Linked DNA regions of Mus musculus. The protein of the gene in region 1 interacts with the protein of each later gene in a pairwise test. Links are inferred from orthologs where the notes say so. Each region holds a gene or a part of one and is shown on either strand. Other genes may lie near its edges.

Region 1 (5,932 bases):
GTGTCCTGGATCTTGTTCCATCCACTAACCATGGGTCTGCCTGATCCTCTCTAATGGCTACATGGTATTTGCTACCATCCCTCCTTCATGGTGGCTGTATCTACTCTCTAAACAATGTTGTAATTACTGCTATTAATTATACATCTTTTGAAATAGCATATCTGCACGATCACAAATCTAGACAGGAAGTTACTAGGGCAAAAACATGCGTATCACAATTCTGAATGGACAGTCAGTCTGCTTGTTCAGCTTCAGACAAGGCAGTGAGGGACAGATAGTGAGGAGCTTTCCCACAGACGATATCCTCCAACACACTCAGGAGCCTGTGCCTGTCTGCTTTTACCACATATTTGGAACACAGTAGATGTGAAAATGGGGTGAGGGTGACCATTCAGGTCTTGTTGCCCAGGCCTGATGGCTACATGTTCCTTAGCACATCTAAAGTCACAGTAGAACTTTTACCTATGCCTGGAGGGTGAGACCAGCTAGTCAGACTTCCCGTCCTACTGTTGTAGTGGCCCCGAGGCTTCTGAGACAGGCTTACCACACAGTGCTAGCTAGCCCTGTTGTCTGGACAACAAGCACAAGCAACCTGGGAAAAGCTTTTCGGCAGGGGTTGGGGGCAGGACAAAAGTCATCTGGATGGGGCAGCCTCAGAACTGGCAGTTTGATCACTAATCAGGATCCATGGCTGAGCAATGAAAGCTGTATGTGGGTTTCCTTGTTATTAACAAGGTTCTGATGACACACTCAGTCTACAGGCTTTGCCTCTAAGGCCCCTACTTTTCCTTGTAGAAAGGAGGCACGATTCCCTGTCCTCCCTCCAGGATTCTGTCCCAGGCGTCATGATGTAAGACAAAATTGAGGCACCAAAATTTAAGAGCCTACGAAAAAATTCAAGATAACTTTGAATCTCAAATCAAATGCTTTAAAGTTTTTTTTTTAATTATGTGTGTTCCTAGATGAGGTGATGCACACCTTTGATCCTGGTACATAGGAGGAAGAGGCAGGCAAATCTATATGAATTTAAGGCTAGTCTGGTCTATAAAGTGAGTTCTATAGATACAGTGAGATCCTGTCTCAGAGAGAGAAAGAGAGAGAGAGAGAGAGAGAGAGAGAGAGAGAGAGAGAGAGAGAGAGAATGTGTGTTCCTGTGCAGACCAGGGAGGGTACAATTCTTTGGAGCTGGAGTTAGTTATAGGTGATTGTGAGCTGCCTGCTGGGAGCTGAACCCTAGTGCTCAGGAAGAGCAGTGAAGGGTCTTAGCAATTCTCTCTCTAGACCCACCATAAATAATTTTTCCTTCTTGGAAATATTACAAGTTTTATTCTCCATTCACTGGATTGTGGCTCATCCAGAAATCAAGAATACAATGATCAGTCAGAATAAAAGATCTCACAAAAGAGATGACGTGTGCACACACCCATCAGTTGCCAGGCAGGCCAGCAGTTCACCTCTACCTCTGAAGGGCTCCAAAGCCACTGCCCTTCCCTAACAAGAGAAAAGAGGAGGAGGCTGGGGGTGAGGGCACTGAATCAGCCATGTCTTTATTACAAGATTGTGAGGTGACAGATTTGCTGATAGGTGGACAGATATACAGTAAATTCATAAGTCAATAAAGTAAATAGAAATTCCCAGGATAAACACTTCACTAGTCTTCCACAACTCAGAACTAATGCAAAAGGTCCACAATGAACCCAATAGAAAATGCTTAAATAAAAACACAATCCAGCTATGCGGCTTCCCAAAGCTGTCTTACTAATAATGGCTTTTATTTCCATACAATATAATTTATAAAAACATCTGGAAGGCTGGCCCGGTGGTTAAGAGCACTGGCTGCTCTTTCAGAGGACCAGGGCTGCCAGCATATACACAACTCCTCACAAACTTCCCACAAATCTCCAGTTCCAGAGGATTGACACTCTCTTCTGACCGCCAGAGGGATGGCATGCGCATATGCATACACACACTCATACACAAAGTAAAATAAATCCTTTTTTAAAGTCGTCTGTTCACTCACCCAATGCACCCAGTGAAATATGTTTTGGGATTTTTTTGTTTCATTTTTATTTAAAATTGTAATAAAATGTGTACAATATACGTTTCAGAAATAAATATTCAGCATTTAGATGCGCATTCACACGGTGGGACGACGTAAGTTTTTAAACATTAAATATAACTATATATAATATTTAATTATATAATATATAATATTTAATTATTTAAATATATAATAGATACTATATAATAATTATATATAATTATATGTGATTAAATATTAAATATAATTAATTTCCAAATATTAAATATATTGTGGCTGAGTTTATATATTTCATACCCCCCAACCCCTGGGACTAGACCAGACCTCCGCCCTAGTGACTCTTGTCCTTGGCACCTCTTGAAACTGCCGAATTGAATACAGTAAGTTTCCCCCTTGAAGATGCGGTTCCTTGAAGATGTAGAAGTTGCGTGCCCGCCGAGGAGGTGGTCCTGACAGTCACCTTCAATGCGCTGGCATCCACCAGCAGCCGGGCACACCTGGTGGGCACGCCCTCTACCTGCCCAGGGCTACCTGGCGGGCCGCGCTCAGCGTCTTGCTCTCGGGGCTCGGGTCCCTGCGGGCCAATGGGGAGGCGGCTCCGGGCAGCAGCCGCGTCCCACCGAGTGGCCAATGGGAGCAGGGCATGCAAATGAGCAGGTGCGGTGGCGGCCGGCCCGTTGCGGCTGCCCCGGCTCCCGAGATGTTAGAGGCGCGCTGGGCAGCCGCGGAGCAGACTGCCGGGCTCCGAGATCCGAGCTCCGCTCTCCCGCCATGGCCCCCGCTCCGCCCCCCGCCGCCTCTTTCACGCCCGCCGAGGTCCAGCGGCGCCTGGCGGCCGGTGCCTGCTGGGTCCGCCGCGGGGCCAGCCTCTACGACCTCACCAGCTTCGTGCGGCATCATCCGGGGGGCGAGCAGCTGCTGCTGGCGCGGGCTGGCCAGGACATCAGTGCCGACCTGGATGGGCCACCTCACAGACACTCCGACAACGCCCGCCGCTGGCTGGAGCAGTACTATGTGGGCGAACTGCGAGCGGACCCGCAGGTACCAGGCGGCCCGGGGCACTCCCCGCTCCCTGCCTCACACCCCTCCCCCAGTCCGCCACTTTAGAGAGCTCAGATCACCTGCCCTCTAGGAGAACGCAAGGTGACAGCCTCCACCCTCACTTCCCTCCGTTTTCCCAGTTTCTCTCCAGGTAACCGGTCACTGACACCCCCTCTCCCATCCCCCTATTTCCCGTTCCTATCACCAGGAGCTTGGTGTTCCCGCTACCCCCCTGACCCGGCTGCATCCTCCTTCCAACATGTCCCTTCTGCAGCCCCCCTACCGCCTGACAACTTCGACTCCTGTTTCTGCCTCCAGCCACTACCTCCCACCCCACCCCCTTTCTCTCTTCTCTTCCTTTTCCTTTATCAGCCTTTCTGGTTTCCTTTCTTGTTTCAGTAGTGGGTCCCTAGGCTCACCTGGCCTCAGTTTCTCCATCCCACCACTCTCTTGGTTCAAGGAGACACAAATCCAAAACTCTGCTCTGCCCCCTTCAGGGGCTCCTGTGGGTGAGTGAGTGAGGGGCCCGAACAGCGTTTTATTGATTCTATCCTCCAGCCCCCGGTTTTATTTCCGTCCTAAACAGTGTTGTGGGTTTGAAAGAGTGAAATAAAATACACGAACCAGCTTGCTAAGGAGAAGTCGATATTTCTAACCCAGACTATGCTAAACTCTCGGTACTGCTGTGTGGTACAGACTCATCTTGGATTTTTACCTTCAACCCATCCTGGGTGTTATTCTCATTTCAGGATGTGGAAACAAGGGTTCAGTGAAGTTCTATAAATGTCTGAGGTCAAACAACTAGGTAGTACAAAAATCAAGTGTTTCTTATTCAAGAATCAAAGTCGTCTCCATCTGGAGGGTTGGGAGACAGAGCTCTTGGTAGACTCAGGTGGAGCCAAGCTAACTCCTTATTCTCAAGCCTGATAGCAGGACTGGTGACAGCAAGGCCATCGTGATTAGGTTAAAGCAACGGTTGGTCCTTGTTGCTCGCGATCTTTCAAGTGCTTTTAGATCTTTAGATGAAAGGACATGCTGTCCACTGTTCCAAGAGACACCTCTTATCCATCTTGCCTAATTCTTATCTCTTAGTCACTTACTTGGTTCTTAAACGGATTGACGACACTGTGCTGGGCACCAACAGCCATTGAACAGAAATGGTTACCATTTTCATGGAGTGAACAAGTTCATAAGGAACCTTACTATGGACTCGGTCATTGTTTAATTACATTTATTAATATTTATAATATTTGCATACTGGGTCTGGAGCAGGTTCAGTAAGAGCTACCTTGAAGAAAGTGACATTTTCACCAAGAGCTAATTGAAGACAGAGCTTAGCCAAAAGTGGTAAGAAGAACATTCCAGACAGAGGAATAGCATGTATTAAAAAACAAACAAACAAACAAACAAACAAACTGTGGCACAGTCAAGAGACAGCAATGGAACCAAGGTGACCAAGGGCTGGCAGGTCAAGGGAAGAAAGAGGTGGGAGCTAGAAGTTATTGGGGCTTGATCAAAGGGCCTCAAAGGCTGTGGTTGGGGGTTTGGGGGCTTGACTTGCAAGGCTAAAGGACTTAAGCTGAAGAGTGGTGCGGAAAGATTTGCATCTTCGGAAGAGTAGCCTTGCTCCAGTGACAAGGAGCGGAGGGAACTCCAGTGGATGTAAGGAGTTCCAGAGAAAAGGCATAGTTTAACCACCATGACCAGAAGGGAAAGGAGATTTCATAATAGAAGATTTGACAGATTTCATAAACTGTCCAGACTTGGCATTCGACAGCGGGGAACCCAGAACAGTATAGGGAGCTGGTGTTTGGTGTCAGGTCTTGCTGACAGAACAGAAGCTTTGCTGTGAGAAAAATTGCTACAGAGATCAGTGAGCAGTTAGGATCAGAACACTGGAGATGGCCAGGCCTGTGAGGGTACATGGACCTGCCCTGTATTGTAACTGTGTTCTGCAGTCGGGAGCCTGAGGGTGTGGCCTCTCTACTCAGTACCATTCTGAATGTCACTCCCTCCCCTGCACTGGATGGCCCCACCTTCCTGCTTTGCCAACCACCCAGCGTCAGGATTTGGTTTGGTTTCACCTTGCCCTGCCTGACCCCTAGGGTCAGAGAGAACTCAGAGGCAAAACCAGTTCACCCTGGGCTCCCTACACCTGCTCTTTACCTGTTATATCCCCAAGTCCCAGTGTGGTCACGTTGCAAACAGATTTCTGGGCCCCAAACTGGGGGTATAGAGAAAACTAAAATCTAAGAGTATAACTCCAGGCCCACAGACCTAATCTGGCCAGCAGCCAAAGTCACCCTAGTTCAGTAGGGGCACTCTGTGTCTTCTTCCATAAAGAAGGCTCACCCCACTTTTTCCCCTGTTCCCTACTTTGCCACACCCCTATGTACGCACTGCACACACACACATTCACACTCACACAAAGGCACATACAGAGAACAAGTCAGACTTGTTTGAGCTAACATACTGTGGGGTAGGGGAGATGAAAGATCTGTAGCTGATCGGGGAAGCTATCTCACCATCCCTGGCTGCCAGAGGCCAGTGGGATCAAGCCCCTTAGCCTAGGCATGGAGAGAAGTGCTCTCCCACCTGTGGACATGAAGCCCTGTTGTGAACACCACTTCAAAAAAGAAGCAGAGCTGGTGAGTGGCTGGGTGGGTAAGGGCGCTTGCCACCAAACATAATGACCTACCTGAGTTGGATCCCTGGAGTCCATACAGTGGAAGGAGAGAACTGACCCCTGCCTCTGACCCACCCCTGTGGACTCTGCACAGGCACATAATAAAGTAAATAACTTAAAGAGAGAAATGGGCAATGAAGGGATTTAGTGTGTAAACCTTCCTC
Region 2 (5,932 bases), on another chromosome or scaffold:
GCCCAGCATGGTACTGGGTGAGAGCTCTACTGCTAATCTCTATCTGCAGCTTCTTTTTCTCTTTCTGTTTTGTTTCTGAGACAGGCTGGCCTGAAACTCACTCTTCCTGCCTCCACTTCCCGGCTGGGATTTCAGGCATGTGCTTCCACGACCTGCTTTTTTTTGGCAGGGGAAGGGTGTTGTGATCATAAAAAGAGAAAGAGCTATAAGAATATGTTCTGGCACAATGTTGGGGAAGGGGGTGCCTCAGCGGGCCCATTGCCAAGGCATCCCCTCCCCCTGAGGGACCAGACACACACCAATATAGTATAGAATAGAGTTTATTTAGGGCACGGGGAGGGGAGTTAAGAGGGTAGTAGAGGCAGAGAATGGCAGAGAGTAGAGAAGTAGGGACAGGCCATGGCCACCTGGAGGGGGGCAGGGGAACGGGATGGGAAACAAGGAGGCAAGAGGTAAGAGAGGCAAGAGCTTAAGAGTGAGAGGAGGAGCCAAGCAGCCCCTTTTATGGGGCCACGCCTACCTGGCTGTTGCCAGGTAACTGGGGGGTGGTGGGGGAGCATATGTGGCTGCTGCCAGGAACTGTAAGAGTGGAGCTTAGACAGAATACCAACAAAGGGGACCAGAGGAGATGAAAATAGCTAAACTGTAATATTGGTCTGCAACAAACAAGGTCCCATACATTCCGTGGTAATAAAAATCAAATGCACGATACAGGTTAGTGCATGTATTGAAGGGGTGTGGCTAGATTTGCTCTTACAAAGGCCTGAATTGATTCTCTTGCCTGTCATTCTCTTTGTTACTAGCATCATACATAACCTTGTATTTGCTGTTGTATATCCGTTTCCCAGTTTCCTGTCTGTCTTCACTCTCAGCCAGTTACAGATACAATGCCCCAAAAGCACTGCTTTCTGGTATTTTCCTGCACAGGAGTTTGGTAATCCTTCCAACCTTGTTAACCTTTTCTAGTTGTCTCTGCCCTTAGTGAAATAGAATGCCCTTATTTCCCATGTGTCCCTATATCTCTAAACTCTACCCTTTCCTTTTAGTTTTTGTTTTGTAATACATGCACATGGTGTGGGTTTATTCCCTAAACCTTTTATGATTATTAATTATTGTGTGTGTTGGTGTGTGGTGTGGGGCATGGACCTTTATGTGTGGAGATCAGAGGACAACTTGTGGAGTCAGTTCTCTGCTTTTCACTTCTGTGTGAGGTCTAGGGTGAAAATGAAGTCCTCAGGAGTTCACAAACTCCTCTACCCACTGAGCTATCTCACCAGGTCCACGTGGTATAGAATGTTAAAATACAGTGAAAAAAAAAAAAGGTCGATTCCCAGCACCGATGTGGCAGTTCACAACAGCCTTTAACTCTGGTTCCACGGGATTCAATGCCCTCTTGTGACTGCTGAGGGCACCAGGCACACAGATAGTGACTGACATGCATGCAGGCCTAACAGCCATAAATGAAGTCACTGTCTTCTTGTCATACATTTTCTCTATCAGCAGAAAAATGGATCCTAGACTTTGTAAATCTGGTTCTAGCCTATCTTGCCATACAACTCCTTTCAACCTTATCGCCGTCATGAAAACTCAAGCGTTCACTACTCATTTTGGCCTACAAGACAATCCCGACCTCCACATTCAACATACATATATCATTCTGATCCTGTTTCTGGGTGGCTTTCAGAAAGCACTCTGGTGTAGCATTCTGGCACAAAATAAATATTCAGGCCAAGTCTGAATGGTTAATTCTGGTTGAATAGCTTCCTCTTCTGAACTCGAACCCCTGATTCCTTGAGACTGGTCTGGTAGTTTCCCTAGTGCAGGGTGTGTACCTGGAGAATGTGCTTGCCAGTTGGACTAGGGACGAACCACAAAAGGATGCAGGAACAACTCCTACACTGAGGGGCTGGTCCTGTGCACTAGCATGCCTCAACCAGCGTCTGTCCGAGTGACCCACCCCAGGAGACTTGGTCCTCGTCTGGGCACTTAGAATCACTACACTGTGCGCGCACCCGGGGCCAATTTTGTCCCGCCCGCGCACCGTCTCGCGAGTCGCGGGCGGGGGCTGCGTCGCCTGCGTCCCCGCGCAGCCGCAGTACCGGGCAGGTGGGCGGGGCCGGCTGTTGGCAGCAGTTGGCGGGGCCGGGTGGCGGCTGCACGTGCGGGCGGGGGCGATGCGTCACTGACCGGTGAGGCGAGGCTCGGGGGTCGCGGTCCTCCGAGTGCCTGCGATCAAGGCCGCCCTCAGTCGGGACCTAACGCTTGGGGAGTCGGGGAAGAGGTGTCACGACGTACGCCGAGCCGGGGGCACCCGCGCAGGGGGTTGGCGAGGGGAGCGCTTAGCTGAGAGAGAGAGAGAGAGAGCCCGGGGCCGGAGCGCGGGGCTTCCCGCCTCAGCCGCCCGCGACCGTACGCGGGCTCTTCCCTGGGTGGGGACTGGCCTGTCACTCAACGGACTGAGGTTCCTCTTCTCCCCATGCTCAGGAGGAACAAGGATGAATATGACTCAAGCCCGGCTTCTGGTGGCTGCAGTGGTGGGGTTGGTGGCGATCCTCCTGTACGCCTCCATCCACAAGATCGAAGAGGGACACTTGGCCGTGTACTACAGGTGAGCGCCGCCCTGTGCAGCCCGCGATGGTTCTAGAAGCACAGTGGAAGGGTCCAATGGGTCACAGCGAAGTCTGGGAAGTTGCTCTTTTCCGCGGCGTCAGGGGAGCTGCTTCCAGCCCTGCCTGGGAAGTGGTTTCATCCCAGCTGCCGGGAGTTAACCTTTGGCGGGGCACTTTTCCGTTGTCGGGGCAGTTTAGTGCCAAGTTCGTTCTGTACAGAATTGAAGACACCTTAGGGGGCACGGAAGTAGTCACTGCAACCGAGATGACTTCTCATAGTCCGCACAACTGCACAGGTGTTTAGTTTGCCGCTGTGGATTTTTTCCGGATCTCTGTCTTACATAAAGACAGTTCTCCCCAACACTAAGTTGGGTTTTTTCTTCTTCATTAAAAAATCTCCCATTGTCTGGTTATGTCCCCCAAAGTCTTCATGACCAGAGCAATGTCATATATCCCTAAAGGCCAAGAGACAAAAACCACATTTGCAGGCCACTTTTCTCACTTTTTTTTTTTCAAGTCAAGGTGAAAAAGAGTGTGGACTCAGTTGCCATCCACCTGATTTGGCATAAATCAAGTCTAACTTCCCACCAGGTCCTCGTGGTATAAGCTGGGAAGAGAAGCCAGTTTGTGGACAACTTGGGATAGTGGTTTATTCTGAAACAAGCAGATTTTTGAATATTTCCATCATGCCCCCTAAACTGGTATTTCTACTTTTAGATCAGTCCAGAATCCTAGAAAATACATACTTTTGGTGGTATGTCTTAACAGATGGAGTTCTAGCATAAGAAATACCAGCCTGGACCACATTTCCATCCAGTTTATCACTGTCCTTCTGACAGGAAAACCACGAAGAGAACATACGGAGATACCACTCCAAAAAAAATGACTAATGAACCTGCAAAGGTTCATCTTTTGAGTTATGACTTAGGACAAGGATGAATGTTGTGGGAACTTACTATTCGTTGTGTAAAGTAGGACTTTGTGTTGTATTTGTCCCAAATTTGCAGGGGGTGCTTTCACCGTTCACATACTACAGAGTTTGATAAACAAGCCCCTCTCTCAGCTGTCAACTCAACCCTTTCGCTGTCTGTCTTTCCATGCTAGGTTTTTGTTACCTTTAGACAGAAACCATCCCCCTAGGATTGGACTCATGTATTGAAAGAACCATTAGCCTCAGAAAGTTTCTTCTTCCTTGAAAGTTTGGTTTTTTCCTTTTTTAAACTTAGCGATTAAATGTATTGTTTTGATTTGTCTCTTGTTATGTGTCATTAATTGAGAGTCATTAGAATTTTTTCCATAAGTATTTATCGGCAAACTAAAGACCAGAGAGGATCTTTTGAACCCAAGAGCAGTGCTAGAGACGCAGAGGTGTGGTTGGTGGAGCTTATGAAACAGGGTGCAATATTGGCAGTGGACTTGGATGCATTTTCACACTTTTAAATGTGATGGATGTTTGAAGTAGCAGTTGTTGAGTCACTCTGTTGTGAGGGTAGTAGGTTAGTAACATGAATATGAGTGAATGTTTGTTATAGCATTTTAAGTTGAAAAGAGATCCGAACAGTTTTGTCAACTGGAACGTCTTTTTGCAGGGGAGGAGCTTTGCTAACGAGCCCCAGTGGACCAGGCTATCATATCATGTTGCCTTTCATTACAACATTCAGATCTGTGCAGGTGAGTGACTCCTAGGGATTCCAGATAGACAGGTGTGACAGGAGTTACCGCACTGGTGGGTGGAGACGGAGTTCCTTATTGCTTAAGCAAACGTTGGTATTTACTCAGATGGGAAGTGAAAGTTCATAGTACAACTGTCACAGCACAAGTCATGATGTCAAACTGCCTTGCCAAGACTGCCTTCTGGCTAATGGTATTAGCAGGTTTTCTGTTACTGAAGTCAAAACAAAAGAAGAATTGAAAACACAATTAGGAATACAAATTAGTGATACCTTGGTTTAGAACTGTTTGGTTTCTACAGAGGCAGGCTCCCAGCCTACTGCTAACATGGAGGAATACATTTCAATACACAGCTTTTCAGCCTCACATTTTTGCTTGGTAAATTAAATGCAAATTTATGAGGCACCTGAATGAATGTGGTACTTTGACAGTGTTTCAGAATGTTTGAAATACAAATCTCGTTCTTGCAAAAAGTATCATGGTCCTAGGCCGTACTTAATAAATAACTCTGACATCACAAGAATGCAGAGCAGGATTGGGTTCTCGCTGATTCTGTAACCTCAGTGGGATCATAAATGTTTGAATTCAGTTTTATTTCAAATCTGCTGCAGAGTTTTCAGGAAACAGGAGAAGTCGGTATTATTCATATTCTCATGTTAGCCTTCAGTTTTGTGCTAAGTGAGAGCAACTGTGAATAGCCAGTTCTCCTTGGTTTCTTTTCTGTCCCTTCTCAATGGCTTACGGAAGTATTGTGCCTATTAAAGTGAGGCCTGGCGAAGCTGGTGAACGTGGTGAGGCCCGGGTTCTTTTTCTAGTCACAATGATTTCCAGATTGGCTTCCCATATTTGACTCACACTTTTGAAGGTTCTTTTTTAAAACCGTATCTTATGTATAGCAATACAATTAACACTTAGTATCACTGTAATAGAATGAATTGATATATTTTTAAACAAAAGAAAAAAGAGAAATGTTTTAGGTTATAAAACCTTTTCCCTTAGAACAATTATTTTATATTACTCTTTCTAAATGTTTTGGTGTGACAGATGTGCCCAGTGACTGGTACTTTGTACCCATTTTCTGATCATCGGTTGCTGATGTCTACTTCATTCCCTGTGCCTTCCTGTGCCGCCTGTGTCTTGCTGGCCTGTTTTAGGCTCATCCCAGTTTCTCTCTTCTGACCGTAGCGTACCAGCAGTTCTTGACAGTCCCAAAGTTACCAGTGGCATCATCAGACTGAGAGCCTGGGCTCCTTCTTAGATCTTGTTCAGAGCCAGGCAAATCTGTCTGCCTTCCTGAAACCCACTGTTAAGCAACATGGTGCAGCAGTAACATGAAGTAGATATAGGCAATAATAGTAAATAGATTTTAACCATTTGTATATAGCAAATATGCTGTGTGATCATCAGAAATAAGTGAAATTAATAAAAAGATTTCAACCTAAACTATCATAATTTTCTGTTTTGATTATTAATTACTTAAAAGTTAAATGTTACAGGCAGTGTTACAAAATAGGAATGTTCTTTTTTTACAAAAAAAAAAAAAAACAAAGAAGGCAGCATTCTAAGCAAAAATTACATTAACAAAACCCTTCTAAGGAACTCTTCTTAAGCAGAGTCATAAATTTACATTTTGGAATTTAGGGAACATTAGA

The links.
Region 2: the proteins of Fa2h (region 1) and Erlin1 interact in binary tests that used the Homo sapiens proteins (3 or more experiments, as listed by UniProt). The two-hybrid records come from large-scale screens. The link is inferred for Mus musculus from reciprocal best matches to the Homo sapiens genes FA2H and ERLIN1.

What each region holds. Positions count from the first base shown.
Region 1 is NC_000074.6:111,390,633-111,396,564, reverse strand, and holds the start of Fa2h (fatty acid 2-hydroxylase), read left to right. Parts: upstream 1-2,743; 5' UTR 2,744-2,812; coding exon 2,813-3,082; intron 3,083-5,932. UniProt on the Homo sapiens protein: Catalyzes the hydroxylation of free fatty acids at the C-2 position to produce 2-hydroxy fatty acids, which are building blocks of sphingolipids and glycosphingolipids common in neural tissue and epidermis.
Region 2 is NC_000085.6:44,065,948-44,071,879, reverse strand, and holds the start of Erlin1 (erlin-1), read left to right. Parts: upstream 1-2,094; 5' UTR 2,095-2,189; exon of another isoform or gene 2,190-2,484; 5' UTR 2,485-2,495; coding exon 2,496-2,608; intron 2,609-4,198; coding exon 4,199-4,280; intron 4,281-5,932. UniProt on the Homo sapiens protein: Component of the ERLIN1/ERLIN2 complex which mediates the endoplasmic reticulum-associated degradation (ERAD) of inositol 1,4,5-trisphosphate receptors (IP3Rs).